Nothobranchius furzeri: one gene and its partner. The main gene of each other region encodes a partner of the protein of the gene in region 2 in a complex. Links are inferred from orthologs where the notes say so. Each region holds a gene or a part of one and is shown on either strand. Other genes may lie near its edges. The genes, in order: ap1s1 and ap1g1.

What was found.
Region 1: the proteins of ap1g1 (region 2) and ap1s1 are in contact, whole or in part, in a crystal structure (PDB 1W63), measured with the Mus musculus proteins. The link is inferred for Nothobranchius furzeri from reciprocal best matches to the Homo sapiens genes AP1G1 and AP1S1. Residues at the interface, in NP_001288140.1 of Mus musculus: Leu7, Arg8, Ile11, Arg12, Arg15, Leu54, Tyr55, His57, Met58, Gly60, Tyr61, Lys78, Phe79, Thr80, Arg83, Ile84, Leu87, Met90, Leu91, Asp94, Glu95, Thr115, Phe117, Leu123, Cys124, Gly127, Cys128, Tyr152, Lys155, Lys156; in NP_031483.1 of Mus musculus: Met1, Leu14, Arg15, Leu16, Gln17, Lys18, Trp19, Leu21, Ala22, Thr23, Asp25, Arg28, Lys29, Arg42, Lys45, Met46, Cys47, Ser48, Phe49, Glu51, Lys56, Gln74, Asp75, Asn76, Glu77, Leu78, Ile79, Leu81, Glu82, Leu83.

The regions. Positions count from the first base shown.
Region 1 is NC_091743.1:88,613,616-88,623,778, reverse strand, and holds the start of ap1s1 (AP-1 complex subunit sigma-1A), read right to left. Parts: upstream 6,804-10,163; 5' UTR 6,657-6,803; coding exon 6,654-6,656; intron 1-6,653. UniProt on the Homo sapiens protein: Subunit of clathrin-associated adaptor protein complex 1 that plays a role in protein sorting in the late-Golgi/trans-Golgi network (TGN) and/or endosomes.
Region 2 is NC_091749.1:59,357,755-59,366,167, forward strand, and holds the end of ap1g1 (AP-1 complex subunit gamma-1), read right to left. Parts: intron 6,134-8,413; coding exon 6,029-6,133; intron 5,903-6,028; coding exon 5,761-5,902; intron 5,561-5,760; coding exon 5,434-5,560; intron 5,151-5,433; coding exon 5,046-5,150; intron 4,909-5,045; coding exon 4,748-4,908; intron 3,109-4,747; coding exon 3,010-3,108; intron 2,902-3,009; coding exon 2,800-2,901; 3' UTR 2,571-2,799; downstream 1-2,570. UniProt on the Homo sapiens protein: Subunit of clathrin-associated adaptor protein complex 1 that plays a role in protein sorting in the late-Golgi/trans-Golgi network (TGN) and/or endosomes.

The DNA of each region.
Region 1 (10,163 bases), on a different chromosome or scaffold from region 2:
GTGTGTGTGTGTGTGTGTGTGTGTGTGTGTGTGTGTGTGTGTGTGTGTGTGTGTGTGTGTGTGTGTGTGTGTGTGTGTGTGTAAGAACATTAAAGAGAGATTTGATTTCTGGCTGCATGTGTTTTCACGCTGTTCCTTTGTGGCTGAAGATCTCAGGTCATAAAATTAAAACAGAGTGTGGAGATTTGTTTTGGTCGATACAAAACATGGTCATGAAGTTCTTGGACAAAATTCCTCTCACCTAAAGCAACCTATGCAGCTCTATATTTGACATCAGTACTTTTCAGAATGAGCTGACATTTTAAAATACATGAATAAGCTGCTGCTGGCCATGCCCACCCATCCTTATAGGCAGGTTGTTAAGTGAAGAGCTTGGATATTGGTGAGGGGTTGGAGTAGAGCCGGTGTTCTGACTGTGTGCTTCTTTGTCAAATATTCCAGTTTGTTATAACAGTTTTGCTCTTGTTTACAGTATAACACATTTATTAAGCATGGTTTATTTTAAATAGTTAATATTATGCAAACATACAGAACTGTAGTATAATTACTAGCAAAAATGAAATCCTTGTGAGGTGAAATCCTTCTTCCTGACACTCGAGGAGTACAGACGTTTCTCTCTTGTCGCTCCCTTATCCTGTTTTTCCCAAGGCTCTTTGTCCTGTCTGCCCAGAGCGCTTCTCTGCATTTCTTCTGAAAAACCCTATTTTTTACTAACCATGGAGTTGATGAATTGGTCATTCAATGTGATCGATAAGATTTTTTCAACAATGAGAACGGGGCAGGGGGCTCCCACATGTCCACAGGGGACACACCCGGTGGGATATACGCTGGATTCCTGGAAGGAGTGGAAGATCGTATGCCTCAGCCAGCTGTCCATGGAGGACATCGAAGACGTGTGGATATTCGACCTGATGGTCACTGGATTTCTCCTGATTGGAGTTGGAGGATATCTGGTTTCCTGGAAATTTGGGAAGACGGGAGCGATTGGAGGGCGACCCGCACCCACGGAAAGCACCGTCCGTATGGAGACTTCTCAGACTGGGACGTTACTCGAGGTGAATCGTAAGCTGGACAATGTTCTAGCTACGCTACCGGTATTAGTGCGCAAAATGGATGTCATCTCGGAGGGAGTCACCGGACGGTATGGACAGGTTTAAAAACCCAAAATTGGCTTCACTGAAGGACTGGAATGATCAGTTTAAAGACTGAAGGCAGAGAGGAAAATTATCTCAGCCTGACCCAAACAAAGTCTTGTTATCTGAATCTGACGCCCTGGTAGCCTTGAGCGGCAACAAACCCCCACGAAGGAATGCATTCTGCGCTTACATGTAGTTATCGTCCGTTTATTGTTATCGAGGTGAAATCCTCAAAATATCGTGATGTTGTTGCGAGTCCCCACATGCCAAAGACAGTGGCAAGCTGAAACACACTGGACTGGCTTGTGCGAGCAAAATCAGCCAGCCGACATGAGTTGGGCTGCAGGTCAAAAAACTGTGGTCAGAAACAAGGGTCACACAAGGGTCACAGGGACGAGGACAGAACTGGGCGAAAGGTCAGGTTGACTGACCCAACCTCTTTGCCCCACCCCTGGCTTGGAAAGATGGGATTGGAGGAGAACAGAGTGAAGACAAGCCCATCAGATCCAGAAGCCCTCTCGGGAACATTGGAGAGAAACTGAAGAATGCTGCAAAAGATGATGTAATGACCTGTGTTAAGAAGAATGCTGCATGTAATGACACCAAATGTTTTGTGTTGAGCTACAAAGTGTGTATCTGGTAAATGACCCCATGACCTAAAGCTGGCCCAGGAAGGGTATATAAGAACAGCTCTGAACAGCAGAGATATATAGATTGAGAGCGGACAGCAGCTGGGGCAGAGGACAAGAAGAGACAGAGCAGATTTGGAGGGGTCATCCCCCGTCCAAACCTGGATGGGGGATGACAGACTTTTTTGGAAGAGGTAACTTGGGAGTTTTCATTCTGAGAAGACAGGAGCTAGTGTAAACTAACTCTTTTTTAATCATTTTGAACTAATTCCTCCTTGGGGGATAGCAGTTGTTTTTTATTTACCCATTTTTGTATTTTGATTTTGTAATAAACCTTTTTTGAAAAAGAAACATAATCCTGATTCTTTCAGGTTTTCTCTAAAGCTTCATGAGTGGAAGCCCTGATCATTAATTGCACAGAGGTAAGCACATTAATTATGGGTTCTGGAATTATCAGGACTTACTTTACGGTTTGTGACAGATTGATATAAAGAAACCTTAAGATAACGGGATTGCTTAAAAAGAAGTGAGCTACTACAGAAGGAAAGGTCTTACATATTATTTCACCTTTAAAATAAAAGATATGATTCTAACTTAGGACGCCCAAACCAGGATCTAATACCATAATACTCACCGACATCCCCATCGAACCCTGATGGATGCTCCGTCTCATAAGTTCTAACGGAACTGGGTTTTAAAGGAACCGATAAATGGGACGGGCACATAACATGGCGCGCCAAACGTGGGGCTACGGAGTGAAGGTCTAAATATTAGATACCGGGCTATCCGACGTAGAACTGTCTTTTAGGCTGATAAAAGCTTACGCGCTATGGACCGGATAATTTTATAACCTTGGAGTGAGAACCGCACCAATTTCTCGAAAAGGAAAGAAACTGGGAGAACGGACGATCAACTTAAAAAGGTATAAAGAAATCACGGCATTCCGACGCAAGAAAAGCCAAGGATAAAAGCTAGGCAAAAAATAAAATAAATAAAAATAAGAAAAACTTTTAACCAGCTATGGCAGATAGATCTTTCAGTATCCTGTAACCGGAGCTTTAGAATGAGGCTGGAAAAGCTAGTATGGAGCTGCGGCGGGGCGCTGTCCGGGTGCTGAGGCACAAGTGAGATGCGATTAAACGTCATGGCTGGATCAAAATCTAGTGAAGGACTGATATGTAAGAATCTGTGTGACTTGGGCCTCGTTTCTGGTAACACGGGGAGGTATTTGTCACGAACTGTAAAGTAATCATGTTTCCTAGCTTCACAGAATCTCATGTCGGGCATCGTCACGCGCAATGGAGGCTAGAAGCCGGGAACATGTATAATGTGTGAACCTCTGTGCTTAAGGGCTGCGTGAGGAGAGAAACCGTGCCGCCTGTAAAGGACGGACTTATAACTGGGAGCATTGGAACTCTGCTCCAATTAAACTTTGTTTTTAGAGGATCTGCTTGAGACAAGCACCTAGCTTCCGCTCTCGGCAGCCTGCAGATATGAGAAGCCGCAGCTGAACAAAGAAAAAGCACCCAGTCAGCTGAGCAACAAGTGACAAGCGGAATGTGCAGGATGTGGTGACATCACCCCTCCCCCTACTAGTTCTGTTGAGAAGGGAGAGTCCTGAACTAACAGCTCCGTATGATTCTGACCTGACACACAGCTACACTAATAAGGCGTAAGCATTTTTAACCTTGCCACATTTGGTGTTGTTGGCAGGATCCATGTAGTACTGTCAAGTAGGTCCGTGGATGTGAAGTTTGTGGCACCCTGCGCGGGAGTACGAGGACGCGCTTGTGGAAAGAGGGGGGAAGGTGTGACAGTGTGAGCGTTCTGTCACAATGTCTTGATTGATCATGCGCCCTGGCCAGTTGGATAAGGGGATGTCCCTTTGGCTGAGTGGTTAGAGCGTATGACTCACACCCCGAAGGTCCCGGGATCGAATCCCGCCCGGGCCCTCATTTGTCCACCTTGCCACACTTTATAGTTTTTAGCGTAAGCTTCCCACCAGCAGCTGCAAGCAGAGTTAGCTTGTTGCTGTTCAGGTGTGTGAGGAGAATATTTGAAGCTCTGCAGTAAAAAATGTCTTCAGTCTGGAGGGAGAGAGTCTCTGCTTGAAGGTGGAGACTGAGATGTTCCAACCAGCAGCTCAGCTGACCAGATGGCAGCTGAAACTGGTGGTGAAGCAGGAACCCAGATCTGAACCCTCTGGTTCTTCTGAGACTGAAGTGAGTGATGATGATGATGATGATGGTGTGTATCTGGACTCTGAGCTAGTCAGACTCTGGCTCTGAGACTGGAGATGAAGATGATCCAGAGGAGGAGGCAGCCCCACCTCAAAGAAGGCTGCTGCAGTCCCCTGGCTAGATTTTTCTCGCATGGGGGATGTTGCGAGTCCCCACATGCCAAAGACAGTGGCAAGCTGAAACACACTGGACTGGCTTGTGCGAGCAAAATCAGCCAGCCGACATGAGTTGGGCTGCAGGTCAAAAAACTGTGGTCAGAAACAAGGGTCACACAAGGGTCACAGGGACGAGGACAGAACTGGGCGAAAGGTCAGGTTGACTGACCCAACCTCTTTGCCCCACCCCTGGCTTGGAAAGATGGGATTGGAGGAGAACAGAGTGAAGACAAGCCCATCAGATCCAGAAGCCCTCTCGGGAACATTGGAGAGAAACTGAAGAATGCTGCAAAAGATGATGTAATGACCTGTGTTAAGAAGAATGCTGCATGTAATGACACCAAATGTTTTGTGTTGAGCTACAAAGTGTGTATCTGGTAAATGACCCCATGACCTAAAGCTGGCCCAGGAAGGGTATATAAGAACAGCTCTGAACAGCAGAGATATATAGATTGAGAGCGGACAGCAGCTGGGGCAGAGGACAAGAAGAGACAGAGCAGATTTGGAGGGGTCATCCCCCGTCCAAACCTGGATGGGGGATGACAGACTTTTTTGGAAGAGGTAACTTGGGAGTTTTCATTCTGAGAAGACAGGAGCTAGTGTAAACTAACTCTTTTTTAATCATTTTGAACTAATTCCTCCTTGGGGGATAGCAGTTGTTTTTTATTTACCCATTTTTGTATTTTGATTTTGTAATAAACCTTTTTTGAAAAAGAAACATAATCCTGATTCTTTCAGGTTTTCTCTAAAGCTTCATGAGTGGAAGCCCTGATCATTAATTGCACAGAGGTAAGCACATTAATTATGGGTTCTGGAATTATCAGGACTTACTTTACGGTTTGTGACAGATTGATATAAAGAAACCTTAAGATAACGGGATTGCTTAAAAAGAAGTGAGCTACTACAGAAGGAAAGGTCTTACATATTATTTCACCTTTAAAATAAAAGATATGATTCTAACTTAGGACGCCCAAACCAGGATCTAATACCATAATACTCACCGACATCCCCATCGAACCCTGATGGATGCTCCGTCTCATAAGTTCTAACGGAACTGGGTTTTAAAGGAACCGATAAATGGGACGGGCACATAACAATGTTGATTTTAGGCCATATCGCCCAGTCATAGTAGCGCGTTTCAGGTAAACCTGTGATGAAGTAATCCATCTGCTCATGCGTATTTCCCCAAAGTAGCACATTTCGACGAGCAGCACAGAGAGTCGAAACACCGGTGTTCCACCAGTAATCAGCACCACCATTGGTTGGTTTCTAGTTAACCGGCTATTAACCATTAAGGGGCATCAATAGCCTTTTAAAGAAATGTTGGTAAACATGCATCCCTAATAAGTCCGCATTAAAGAGCACTAACAACACATCGTTCAGAGGGCAGAGAATGGAGGGTTGTGTGAATTTCTTGGAAGATGATTGGTTGACCAATCATGCTTTAGGACAGTATTTATAACTGAATGCATTAATCGGTCCTTGTCAGACACGTGACCTGCATGTCAACCACACCTCTTTAGCGCCATTTTAGGTGTATGACTGGCATTGCTAGGGTAAGCTGCAGCTGACAAATAATGCTCAGATGTTCTGATGGGAATCGTCTGATGGATCTCGTTACCTCTGCGATGTTCTCCGTGCAGAACGTTTAAAATGTCTGCACAACTGCACGCGTCAGAGTAATTCCTGTCTGTCAGAATGACCAACAGCCTTGAGATTTCTGTCAAAAACTGAACGGTTAAATACAGAAAATATCCAGTTAACACGACTCCAGCCTACATTTTATTTTTTGCCTTCTTGTGAAGGTGGCATGGCCGCCTTTCACACAACAGGTGTACCGGGTTTAGCTCACAAAGCTTCCTTTGTTCAGACACCTAGCTATTCCATCATGCAACGCGCTACAGCACCCCATATGTCACCTGACAAGGACCGATACATAAATGTGGAAATAAACATATTTCTTACCAACTATTTAAAATAGCTATTTTTTCTGCATTTTGTCATTTATTTATAATTTATTCCCGCCTTTTATTTTTCTATTCTATGTCAGTTTTGGCAAGATGGGTCTGAAAACCCAAACGGCTTAAGTGAAGAATGAATACTCCATCCGAGAACATTCGGCCTTTTAGAATGAATCGGCTTTAGCGAGAAGTGAACGGAACTCACTGACTGGAAGTGCCATCGACCCGAACATGAACGGGAACGGGTTGGATCTTGTGTGCTGGTGTCGTGTAACTAAATAAACGCATTGAGCTGAATCGAATCCTGGAACTGAAGCTGAGGAAGGGAGCGGGTCTTAAAACACCTCAACCAAGCAACAGCGACTTAGCCCACAGTAAGAACGGCACCATGATCCGGGTCGTCTCCCCTCTCCAGGCCCGTTCGCCAGGTGAGCGGAGCGCAGGTGGGCACTTCCTGAATTGCTGACACCTTATCGGCATTAGCACAAGTTAGCACCCGGCACTTTCCACCGATTGAGACGCATCAACTCACCATTCTGAACGTGCCCCCAACGTCACAGACACCCTGTGCAGCCTGAAGTTAGTAGCTCAGACGATAATTAACGATAAAAGTCCATCTCCGTGTCTAACAGGACACAGCCGAACGAGAGGTACCACCGTACCGAGCACTTCCGCCTCCACTGAGCATGCGCACTTCAGACTCCGCTTTTTGCACTATTACACATTCGAGGCCTCTTTTATTGTCAAACAAATGAATTATCATAGAGGAGGGTATATAACAGTACAAAAAAGCTGAAAGAAATTGCATGCACGAAACACACACACACACACACACACACACACACACACACACACACACACACACACACACACACACACACACACACACACAGTGAGAGAAAACATTCATATATGTTCTTATTTGTATATTTATTATTGTAATGATATGTATGTCGCCTCTGTCAGTGCGCCCCAGGGCAGCTGTGGCTACATCGTAGCTCATCCCCACCAGTGTATGAATGTGTGTGTGTGTGTGTGAATGGATGAATGATTGATTCACTGTAGTGTAAAGCGCTTTGGAGTCCTTACTCTGAGGGGCGCTATATAAGTGCGGATCATTTATGTAACGATCCTGAAATGTGTATTAAATATGTACATGGTTTGTTTTAGTGTGTGGCGAGGGGGTGGGACTGAGTAAACACTCGCTTCTTCCCACTCCCTTTGGGCTAAGACTTTTTTCCTTCATTTGTGTTTCTTTTTTCTCCTTTTTACTGTTTATTGCTTATAAAATTATTGTCTAATGTTTAAATACTTTTACTTGTACTTGAGTAAAAATAATCAAAGTATTGGTACTCATACTTGTGTAGGAAATTTTAGTACTCTTTCCACCTCTGGCTGTACCACATTGTCCTGATGATTTCCTTTGTGATTCTTTTGTAGCTACTTATTATCAAAACGGTGGGAGAGGACTTTGGTATGAGAACTCACAAATACTGGATGATTACATTTTGGGTGTGAATAAAATTAAATAAAACGGGTGTGATACCTCCTTCCTCTCTGAGGGCATGAACAAAGGTATGCTAGAGCCTGGATTTGGGAGTTTTACCAATATGTCATTGGCGTACGTATAGGCTGGTTTTGTGCCATTTGTGGTTATACTTTTCAGCTCTTCTTGTTAGAAAATCTGAGCTAAATGTTGAAAAAACAAATTGAACAAAAAAAAGCTATCATCTTACTTTTTTATAGGACTGCTTTGACCATTCACATTCACTGACATGAATTTATAGTGTTCATGAATTTTCCTGCGGTGTGTTTTCTGTACCTGTAATCCTGTTCCCCCTATCTAAACTGTCCTTACTGAGAACCGTCGACCGATGTCTTAAAACTCCCACCTGGGAGAAAAAACAAAGTCCCATGAAAACAGTGAAGAGATATGACCACAGAGTGGGGCTCTTCATCAACTTACTACCAGAAGCAGGGGATTTTACACCAGCCAGTGTGTGGGCGATCATTTATACACTGAAACAGACTCCTTTTTAAATAACCAATAAAATCATGGGACTTCCATGAATACTGAATTATTAGCATACATAAAAGAATGTCTGATTGGTTCTGGTTTATGGGTCTAATTAGATTAAACCATCTTTTGTCATGCTGACCCTTCCACCTTTGCTGGATTTCAGACCCTTCAGTGATATGAGGTACTCTTTTAAAAAGAAATTAATAATCTGAAAGACCATACCACGTTTTTTTTTTTAAATAGCACATTTAAAAACTACGCAACAGCTGACTAAAGTGCTGAACATAAAAACAGTACGGCAATAATTCAAAAGAAGGATTGAAATAAAATATGGAGTCCATCCAACCATCCGTTTTCAGCTGCTTATTCAGGGTCGGGTCTCGGGGGCAGCAGCCGTAGCCAAGAGGCCCAGACTTCCCTCTTCCCAGCCGGTTGGGCCAGCTCCTCCGAGTGAAGCCCAAGGCGTTCCCTGGCCAGCCAAGAGACAGTCCCCTCAGCGTGTCCTGGGTCTTCTTTTGGATCTCCTCTCAGTCTGACGTTCCTGGAACACCTCAGCAGGGAGGCAGGTAGCCTGCCCTGCCAGACTTCTTCCTGTTTAATTCTGCACAGCGCAAATATCTTTCTTTAGAAGAAAGGCTTTTAGCGCTTCTACTTGTTGTGGTTTTAAAGACGTGTCCAAGTCATTTAGAACAGAGGAAACAGCTGCAGAGAACTCTGCTTCAGTCGCCATGTTTATGACAAACTCGGCGTTATGGTGTGTGACGTACGCTACTCAGCGCTGATTGGCTCGGTTAGAATTCTCAGGGGGCGGGGCTGTTTATATAGGATAGTTCCCAGACTGTGCAGAATTAAACAGAGGAGGACTCTGGCAGGTCAGGCTGGCGTCCAGGAGGCATCCTAACCAGATTAGAGGAGCAACAAATCTATTCCAGGACCCTCCTGGATGACTGAGCTTCTCGCCCTAGGTCTGAGGGAGAGCCCAGACTCCTAGCGGAGAAAACTCATTTTTGGCTGCTTGTGTTTGTGATCTCGTTCTTTCGGTCACTACCCAAAGCTTGTGACCATAGGTGAGGGTAGGAACGTAGATCGACCGGTGAATGGAGAGCTTTGCCTTTCGGCTTAGCTCAGCAGGGAAAAATGGAGCGTGAAAATAAGAAGTACCACAGCAAACATTCTAAGTAATAGGATCAACAATCAAATGCATAGAATTCGTAGTGGACTTTAGGAATAGACTTCAATGAAGCTAACGAAGGGCCTATCATATCATATCATATCATATCATATCATATCATATCATACTATAAGATATTATATTATCTTATGATATGTTATATTATATTATCGGGGGGGGGGGGGGGGGTGGCGGGGCTGGTGCCTATCTCCAGCGGTCAATGGGCAATCAGGCAGGGTACACCCTGGACAGAGAGCCAGTCCATCGCAGGGCAACACAGAGACACACAGGACACTCACACACACACACTCACACCTAAGGACAATTTAGACATACCAATCACCCTAACAGTCATGTTTTTGGACTGTGGGTAGGTTCGCGGCCAAGTGTGAAGCGGCTGGGATGAGGATCAGCACCTCCAAGGTGAGACCATGGTTCTCGACCGGAAAAGGGTGGCTTGCCAACTCCGGGTCGGGAGAGAGGTCCTACCTCAAGTGGAGGAGTTTAAGTATCTCAGGGTCTTGTTCACGAGTGAGGGTAGGAGGGATCGGGAGATCGACAGGCGGATTGGTTCGGCGTCTGCAGTGATGCGGACGCTGAGCTGATCTGTCGTGGTGAAGAGGGAGCTGAGCCAGAAAGCCAGGCTCTCGCTTTACCGGTCGATCTACGTCCCAATCCTCACCTATGGTCATAAGCTTTGGGTAATGACCGAAAGAACGAGATCGCGGATACAAGCGGCCGAAATTAGTTTCCTCTGTAGGGTGGCCGGGCTCAGCCTTAGAGATAGGGTGAGGAGCTCGGACATTCGGGAGGGACTCGGAGTAGAACCGCTGCTCCTCCGGATCGAAAGG
Region 2 (8,413 bases):
TTTAAAGTTCCTTTCTCCCCCTTGTGAGCATTAACAAGCTTTTCCTGGTTTGTTTTGATGAAGAAAAAATGGAATTAAATCAAGCTATAAAAAAAATTTACATCCTAATCGCCTCGTCTGTCTTTCATCGATTCAACTAGTGAGTGATCTTATTTAACCTTTTAAATCAGGATTTTTACATATTACAAACAAAAAAAATGTGCCATGAAGACAAAATGACAGCAACTTAAACCTACTAATCATGACGGCAATTTAAAATCTTTTTTTTCTAGTGTCCTTGATTTGCTTGCTTGGAAGATGCAGAAAACACAGGAAGCAGGGAAAGCAAAAAGAAAACACCAAAACCAAAGGGCAGCACATCACACAACAGTTTGCAGGATGAAGAGAAAATGTCAAGAGCGCATGTAAGGCCAAATGGAAGAGACGCTTCTTGGCAAAAGAGCTGCTCCCCCTCAAGAGGGTACGGACACAAACGAGGATCTATGAGGTGTGTGAGGGGCAGGGAAGCAGACAAAGCAAAGTGCCACTTGTGCTCACTCTCCTCAGTAGTACAGCTGTTCAGATTCAGCTCTTATAGAAACACACCGTGTTGCCTTCCGACTCACTTCGTAGAAGATAACGCATCCAATCGCTGAGATAAAAGTATCGTAAATTATACGCAGCTCAATTGCATCATTTCAGGTTAATTTTGTACATATATGCATACAATTATACTTTTAAGCTAATCTTTTACGTGGATTTTATTTAATTTGATCAGTGTTTTACAACTATATACAATGTACAGGCAGCAGATCAGAACTCGTTTACAATAAGTGAGCGGTGACAGGAAAATCTCCTCAGACTGATGCCAGCTAAACCTATTTAGACAATATACATTGTGAATATTTGAATTTTATCTCGTTTCGTTTAGAAAATGGTATCTAAAAAAAGGATGAAAGATAGTACATTAGACAAAATTGTAAAAGCCCTCAATATGTACAGAAAAAACAAAGCCAATATAGCATTTTCTCAAGAACAGGAAACAAAAAGTTCAGCCTAAAGATTTCTCCATATACACATATAGCTCAAAAATATTTCCAAAGCTAATAGTATCTCTGATTTGGTCACAAAAGTTAAAAGATAGTGAAGCATAGTGACAAGAGTGATACACAGCATGGCCAGGCTGCACCAGGAACGAGATGTGAAAACCACTGTTAGCGTCTAGTCTTCCTCATGCAGACGCTTCGTTTAACTGAAACTCACGACTGAACAAAATTTCATTTACCACCGCTAAAAAGTTAAGAGAAAGAAGAAATATTGTGAGGTATTAAGGTTTCTATCCATCCCAGATGACAGCGTGGTCATGAATCTGATTTAAAGACGAGTACCTATTCCAAAATCCAGCTTCTCCTGCTTATGTTTTGGGTTAAAGATTGGACTGATATGATATTCTTGATTTTTTTTATCTCAGAAAAACTCTGAAGCCAAATAATGAAACTTTTCATCTATTAGCTGCCATTATTTTAAATTTCCAGTTTTTTAAATTTTATAGTCATTCAGCTCTTTTTTTTTAAATATATATTTTTATTTGACAAAAAAGAAAATTAAGAAAAAATTGGACTGATATAAGTGGGACTCTGAGCATGTGGGCCAATATTAGATACAAGTAAAATGTATATGATGCGATTCGCCAGTTCGGTTCGATCATCACACAATCATACGACGACGCTCGTACAGAACTCAAAAAGCTCAGGGGCTTTGATTTAGCCGAGTCAGAAAGGCACATCACTTAGATATCAGGCATAAATTAAGAACTGCAGAAACAAAACAAATGTTCACAAAAACAGTGCCGCTAGGATGAGCGTGAGGGGGGAAACTAATCAAGGAGCATTCAGTGCATGTTAACTACATTCATATAGAGCTTAATTTACACGTGACTGTGTGTGGGATTCAACCGACCGGGTTAAACTAACCTGAAAGTGGAGTAAACCAAGAGGCAGATGCAGGAAAAGTTTAAAAAGCAGAGCTTTTAAGACAAATGCTGATAAGTTGAAGAGCTGTATTAATTCTGAATGAAACTATTCAGAGATGTTAAATTTAATATACAGATCTACAAATTGCTGCGTCCCTACAGATGAAACAACAAATGAGGGAAAAATCGGAGTGTTTTTCCCAGAATTGGCCACAAGAAACCCAATTGAGCGCGTTTTCTGATGTTCTTATCAGAAAGAACCAGCTCTTATAACACCAGAATAAAAAAAAAAAAAAAAAAAAAAAAATCATCTTCGAGCTCAAATCCAGATGTGACTGGCCAAAGTGATGCTCAATGTTTCATGGTTTCTCCTGTAAGATGGTTTGTTTTTTTAAAAAACATATGAAAACAAAGCCAATCATATAAGAAGGGAATTTAAAAAGAAAGGTTCCTGCTGTGCCCGTAGGAAGCAACACTTCCTCCAGAGGTAAAGTGTGCCACAGTGAATGGTGTGCATGTGTCCTGCTGTGTGTAGTAATGGTGCTGAGAGGAAATACAACTCATTAAGTGAAGAGTTTATGGAAACCAGTTAGGAGGAAAAAGAAAGTTCAGTGATTGATATGTTTTCCAAATTATTCTTGTAATATCAACAGGGTCTTGGTAACATCTTTGTTATTCTCCCGTGATCAACGCTCTGCTGCTTCCCATGCAACTTGAGGGTAGCTGTCTGCAATGACTTCACGGAAGGGGGGTGGGGGGTGTCCATTGGAAGAAAGGTGGGAGGTTGAAAGGAAAAATCCATTTTCATAGTTCCCTTGACGGGGCTTAAGAGCAACGGGCGCTGATCATCACTGCCACGACTGTGGAGGGAAGTTGTTAACCTCAGCCAGGTCTTGGATAGATGAGGCTCTGTGCGTGTAGGTCAGTTTGATCCTCATTCGTAGCTGTTGCTGAAAGGTTTACGAGCACGATTGAGTTTAATAAATAAACAAGTTTGAAATGTGAACAAATGGGGCTTCAAACAGGCAAAAACTCAGTTTACTAGTTTGTAAACTTACTTTCTGTGGGTTGAGGACTCTGATGACTTGCGTGACAGTTCCCTGGTTGAGAGCTGGGACGACGTTGCTGCTGGGGGAGAGAAGCTGCAGCTGGAATGTCTGATAAACAGAGAGAGAATAATGATTAATAACAAATGGAAAAGCAACTCATGTCTACGGCATTCTGGACAATCTGGAGAGCTTTCACCAAGCATGATGGAAGTCCTACCAGAGGAACATTGATACAGTCGAGGTTAGTTTGGTAGCATCTGTCTGATGAACTATTCTAACATAGTTTGCAATAAGAAACAACCAAGAGTCTGTTGCAACTCGGAGGGCGAGTGATCATCAATCATGGTTCCTTTATAATTTTGTTGGGGAGACAGTCGAGGAAATTTCTCTGCTCATGTGGTAATGGATGGACTGACTAGCTAACAGAAATCTTGGCCACATTAAGTTTAAAGGGGTCTTTCTTCATCAGTTTAGATTTGAGAGAAAAACAGTTTTTAGCTACACTAATGGGGTCTTCTTGCAAGAAGGACGACTAGGAATCATTTGGATGTCAGCGATAAAAAAACAACGCAGGTGACAAGAGCCAAAGAGAAAGTACAAAGGACAAGTGTCCAAGCACTGAACCGTGGGGAACTCCTGTGGGAAGGCCGTGTGATGTGGGTGTTTTTTGTTTAACGATCAACACAACAAACAGGATACAAACTAGGAATGTGTGTAATTTGAGTTTAGACCTAGTTAGATTACACCGTTTGATAAAAGCCTCACAAAATTAGAAATAAAAAAACTCTGAACCAAATTCTGACTTAGTTAAATTCTACCGTCTTTTATAAATCTTTAAAAGCTCATCAACAGACCAAAACTTCATGTTACATTTTTTTTTTTTTTTCATTTTTGGGACCAAAAAATATTTTGTCATTTTGTTTAATCTAAACTGGTATTACATTCTTATATGACCGCATTTTCAAACAAAAAATTACTAATAAAATATTTTTTTCTGCCTACTATAACAGCTAACGCATTAAGCACAGATTCTGAGTGATATCAGGTAAAAATATTATCCATTAAGCCTGATTTATACTTCTCCTGTCAGCAAGTTAGCGCTCACATGAACACGTACTGATGGTGACGTTTTCCTTTTATACTCCTCAGTCGGGGGCTTCAGCGTTGTGAAGCAATTCTCTGCCAGGACAGCAGGGGGCGTAGCGTTTTTCTGGGGTATCCTGACAATAATGCAGTCAGTCTCTAGTGTGTTTATATATCTCAGACTTCTAAACCTGGATAAATTCATCCTCCACCTCTGCATCCGGTCACCACCTCTAAACTAACATTTCCCGTAATTTCCTGACAAATGAAAAGTTTGTACTCAGTCACAGGTGTGAAAACGTTAGTATCGAGACATTCTTTAATCTGCTCCATGTCTGCTGCTAGATATGTTCGGCTCTCGTTTTATTGTTTTGAGAGGGAATGACGGTGCTGTAGACGAATGAAGGGAGCGGCGTCCTGACCAATCACAGGCTTGACGTCTCTGTCACCTTCAGCAGATGGTTAGAAAAGTGGGCTCAACTCCGTTTGTCCTTGCGAGCGAGTTGGAGAACGCTTGTGACGAAGCATAATGGCGTTGGGCATCTCAGTATCGACGCAAATAAAGAATAAGCAAAGCTTTAGCCTGAGCTGACTTGTATTAAATTAGTACCAAAACATAAAAAGAGAATCAACTAAATAATAACGCAGCATTGTTCATGCTTACCTTTGGTACTGCAGCCTGAAAAACAAAGTCGGTCATGTCTGCTTCTGTCGAGTTGGATGCATTGATGGTGATTACTGCGATGTTTGGGTTGGGGTTCGCTCTCTCAAAGGTAAAGTCTATTTTCAGACCATTCTTGTTGTAAGCAGTCATAGGAGGAATACCTAAGACATTTCAGAGGGATAAATGATTAAACGGGATCGTTAAGATTGTTAATGGGAAGGTTATGAAAGTACAAGAATATAAACCACTTGGTGCCTCACTAAATAAGCATCTTTATTTGAGAGCAGCACCCTCTCACCTGCAGCTGCAATGTCATTAAACAGGGGTTGTGAAGAGAGGCCATCCAACAGAAAAGGGGGTTGGGAGGTGGGCACTGAGGGAGCAGGAGTAGGTGCAGGACCTCCTGGGAGGGGAGGGGGAGGTTCATACCAGGGTTTAGGAGGACAAACGCAAACATTTGCATTTCAAGCATTTACAGGAAATATTACTGAAAAAGTGATTTAAATTTTTCTAATTGTTCCTGAAACTGAAACAAATTCAAGCCAAACATCCAAACTGTCTTTTAGGGACTGGTTAACTTCCATCTAATGAAAAACAGAACACCATTAGTGAAATGTACTGGGCTTCGTATTAAACCAAGGAAACAACCCTGGATGGAACATGATCATTTAAGATGAGCATCCTACCACTTAGTGAGAGGTCACCCAGAAGATCAAGCAGCTCTCCTCCAGCTGAGGCGGGCTTGGTGGGCACCGACGTCTGGATCACCGGCACCATATCATTACCACCCAACAAGTCTAGCAAATCGGTAGCCTGTGGAGCAAGAACACATCAAGTGATTAAAAATGTGAATTTAAAACATTCATTATAAACACTTATTGCAAAAACTCAGAACTGAAACGCTAATTGGGTTCATGACAGCTTTAAACAATAAAGGCTCTGCTGTGTGTATATTCATTTCACTAAAATAGAGATATTTTTGGAAATATATACACATTAAAATTGGTTTTCACCTGGTTTGTAGATTGGGTTACTGGAGGAGGATGTTTTGTTTCCACCACAGAAGGATCGGTCTCCCCGTTTGTCTGAACTATTTCTGTAGGGCCATTACTCGCAGTTTTCTCCATGATGGGCATTCGCTCCAGAAGAGCTGACCTATCATCAGAGGACAAGCAAGAATGGACGTACGAAACCAAACTGTTAAAGTTGGTTTCCCTAAAGCTAATGGCCGATACAAAAAGATGGCTAGTGTTGTTTTCTTCTAAAAGTGAGAAGTTTCACCTCATGTGGTCATATTTCTTGAAAAGTGCATTGTACTCCACAGCTCTCTGCTGAAGCTCCACATCAATGCTGCTGCCATATATCGAAACCACTTTCTTGATTCGACTGGAAAGCAAAACAGATAAAAGAGCTAAAGATGAAGTAGAAGGCAGCAAAGAGGAAAGCGAGGGATCAGGATCACTGTCCACATCAATAACAACTCAACACCACATGTGTTTGTTGCTCATGTTATTTAGAATGAAGGTGTGAACATAATCCGTGCTACTTTCATTTGTAACATAACTGATAGGTGAAACCATCAGGTCTAAATTAGCTGAAGCACTTTTTCTTTTGTAAAGCTTCTCAGCATAAAAAACTAATAATCCTACAGGGGTCTCATGTCCAGACAGGACCTAGACAAACTCATTCATGCGTTCATCTCCAGCAGGCTGGACTATTGCATTGCTCCTTCGTCTGGTCTTCCCAAAAAAAGCTGTGAAGCAACTGCAGCTTATTCAGAATGTTGCTGCTAGAGGCTCAACAAGAACCAAGAGAACCAAGCACATCACTCCTGTTCTTAAATGTTTACACTGGTTATCGGTAAACTGCAGAATAGATTCCAAATTGCTACTGCTAATTTATAAAGCACTCAATAGCCTGGCGTAGGGCTGGGCGATATGGCAAAAATAGAATATCACGATTTTTCCAATATTTTATCACGATTTCGATTTTATCACGATTTTTTTATCCATGAATAGCATAACTTCAATTGCGTATTAAAGAAGAGAAACATTGAATAAATAAACATTTATTCATATTAGGGATAATCAGCACAGTGCTAACACACTTATATTTTAAACTCACACCAGAGATGATAAAAGCCCTGAGAGAAACAATTACAAAAATCAGTTTTTCTCGTTTTTCAAGTTACTTAACATAAATTAAAATCGTAAACATATTTAAAGTGCAAACATGTCAATTGCAAACGTATTGTGCAAACATTAACTTGTTCAAAATACTACGTAGCTCCCAGTTGCTCATGTAGTGGATAGTTAAGCTCAAATACGGCTCTGATGTGCGGCTGGACCAGAGATCGCTTGTGGTAGCAAAAAACTGCGAATTCTGAATATTTTCTGCAACAAGTCTCTAAATAAAGTAAAAATTTCCAGTGCACATTGGAGACAACCCATAGAAGCACTGATTTGATCTCATTTCAGAGAAAAATAGAACAGGTTAGATGCACCTAATAAATAAAATTACTAACAAACTCAGGAATCTTTCTTTGCTTCACTGTTCTGGTGCTGAAAACATCACTGATGTGGATCAAAGGAGATGCACAGATGAATGCACCTCTTATTATTTGGAGACTACATTTACTGCAGCTGGCAGAGGAAGAGATCGTTTCTATTGATACACGGAGTTTACAGAATCATTTTAAATTGTAATAGGGGAAGACTGCAGGAGGGAGCGGTAAAATACAGGGGGTCCCAGCAAAAACAAGAAACTACGAGTCTGATGAAACCCGCTGGTTTTCCATCAGGCAGTCACGATGCAGCTCCAGCGACCGAGCTCAGTCCAGTACCAACACCGGCTCGGCAGAGGGTGAACGAGCCGAGGCGGCGTCGTGCTCTGCTTAAGAAGCGGTGTTATTTTCCTGATTCAGAAGAAGCGTCCAACGTGTTTTTACGCTTTCTCCGAGACATGTCACGTCACTAAGTTGTTAGCGCCGTGCGCTAAGGAAACCCTGCGTTCCTCTTCGGAACGAAAACCTCATGTCGCTCTCAGCCGCGGCCGAAGCCATGTTTGTTCACACACAAGTGAAAACAAGCGGGGCACTAATGTATTACTATGACTCACTCTGATTGGTTAAGGGTCAAACAAAGGCGTGTCATTCGCCTGGGGTAAGTTCCCTTTTCATTCAGAGGCAGAAATTCAACAGCAGAGCTGTGAATCGTGATAAAACGGTCTCTCAAAAATGACAGACCGTCAGATGTGTAGATCGTAAAACGGTCTAAATTCGTCATATCGCCCAGCCCTAGCCTGGGGCCAAAATACATGTTGCATCTCCTTGCAGTATCTATGCCCAGCAGGGCTCAGATCCGTAGGAAGTGGTCAGCTGGTAGAACCCCGGGTCAGAACCAAACAGGGTGAAGCTGCTTTTAGCTACTATGCTGCACACAGAGGGAATCAGATTCCTCATGACCTCAGATGTACCCCAACTCTAGTAACATTTGAATCAAAATTGAGAATTTTCATGTATTCATCATCTTTTGAATGAATGTTTCTTTTGCTGCACTTTCTGCACTGTAACTGCTGTAATTTGTTCTGTTGTCACGTGGATTTTAACGCTTTACGTTCCTGCTCCTGGACAGACCATTGAATTGCTCATGTACAATTAAAGCTGCC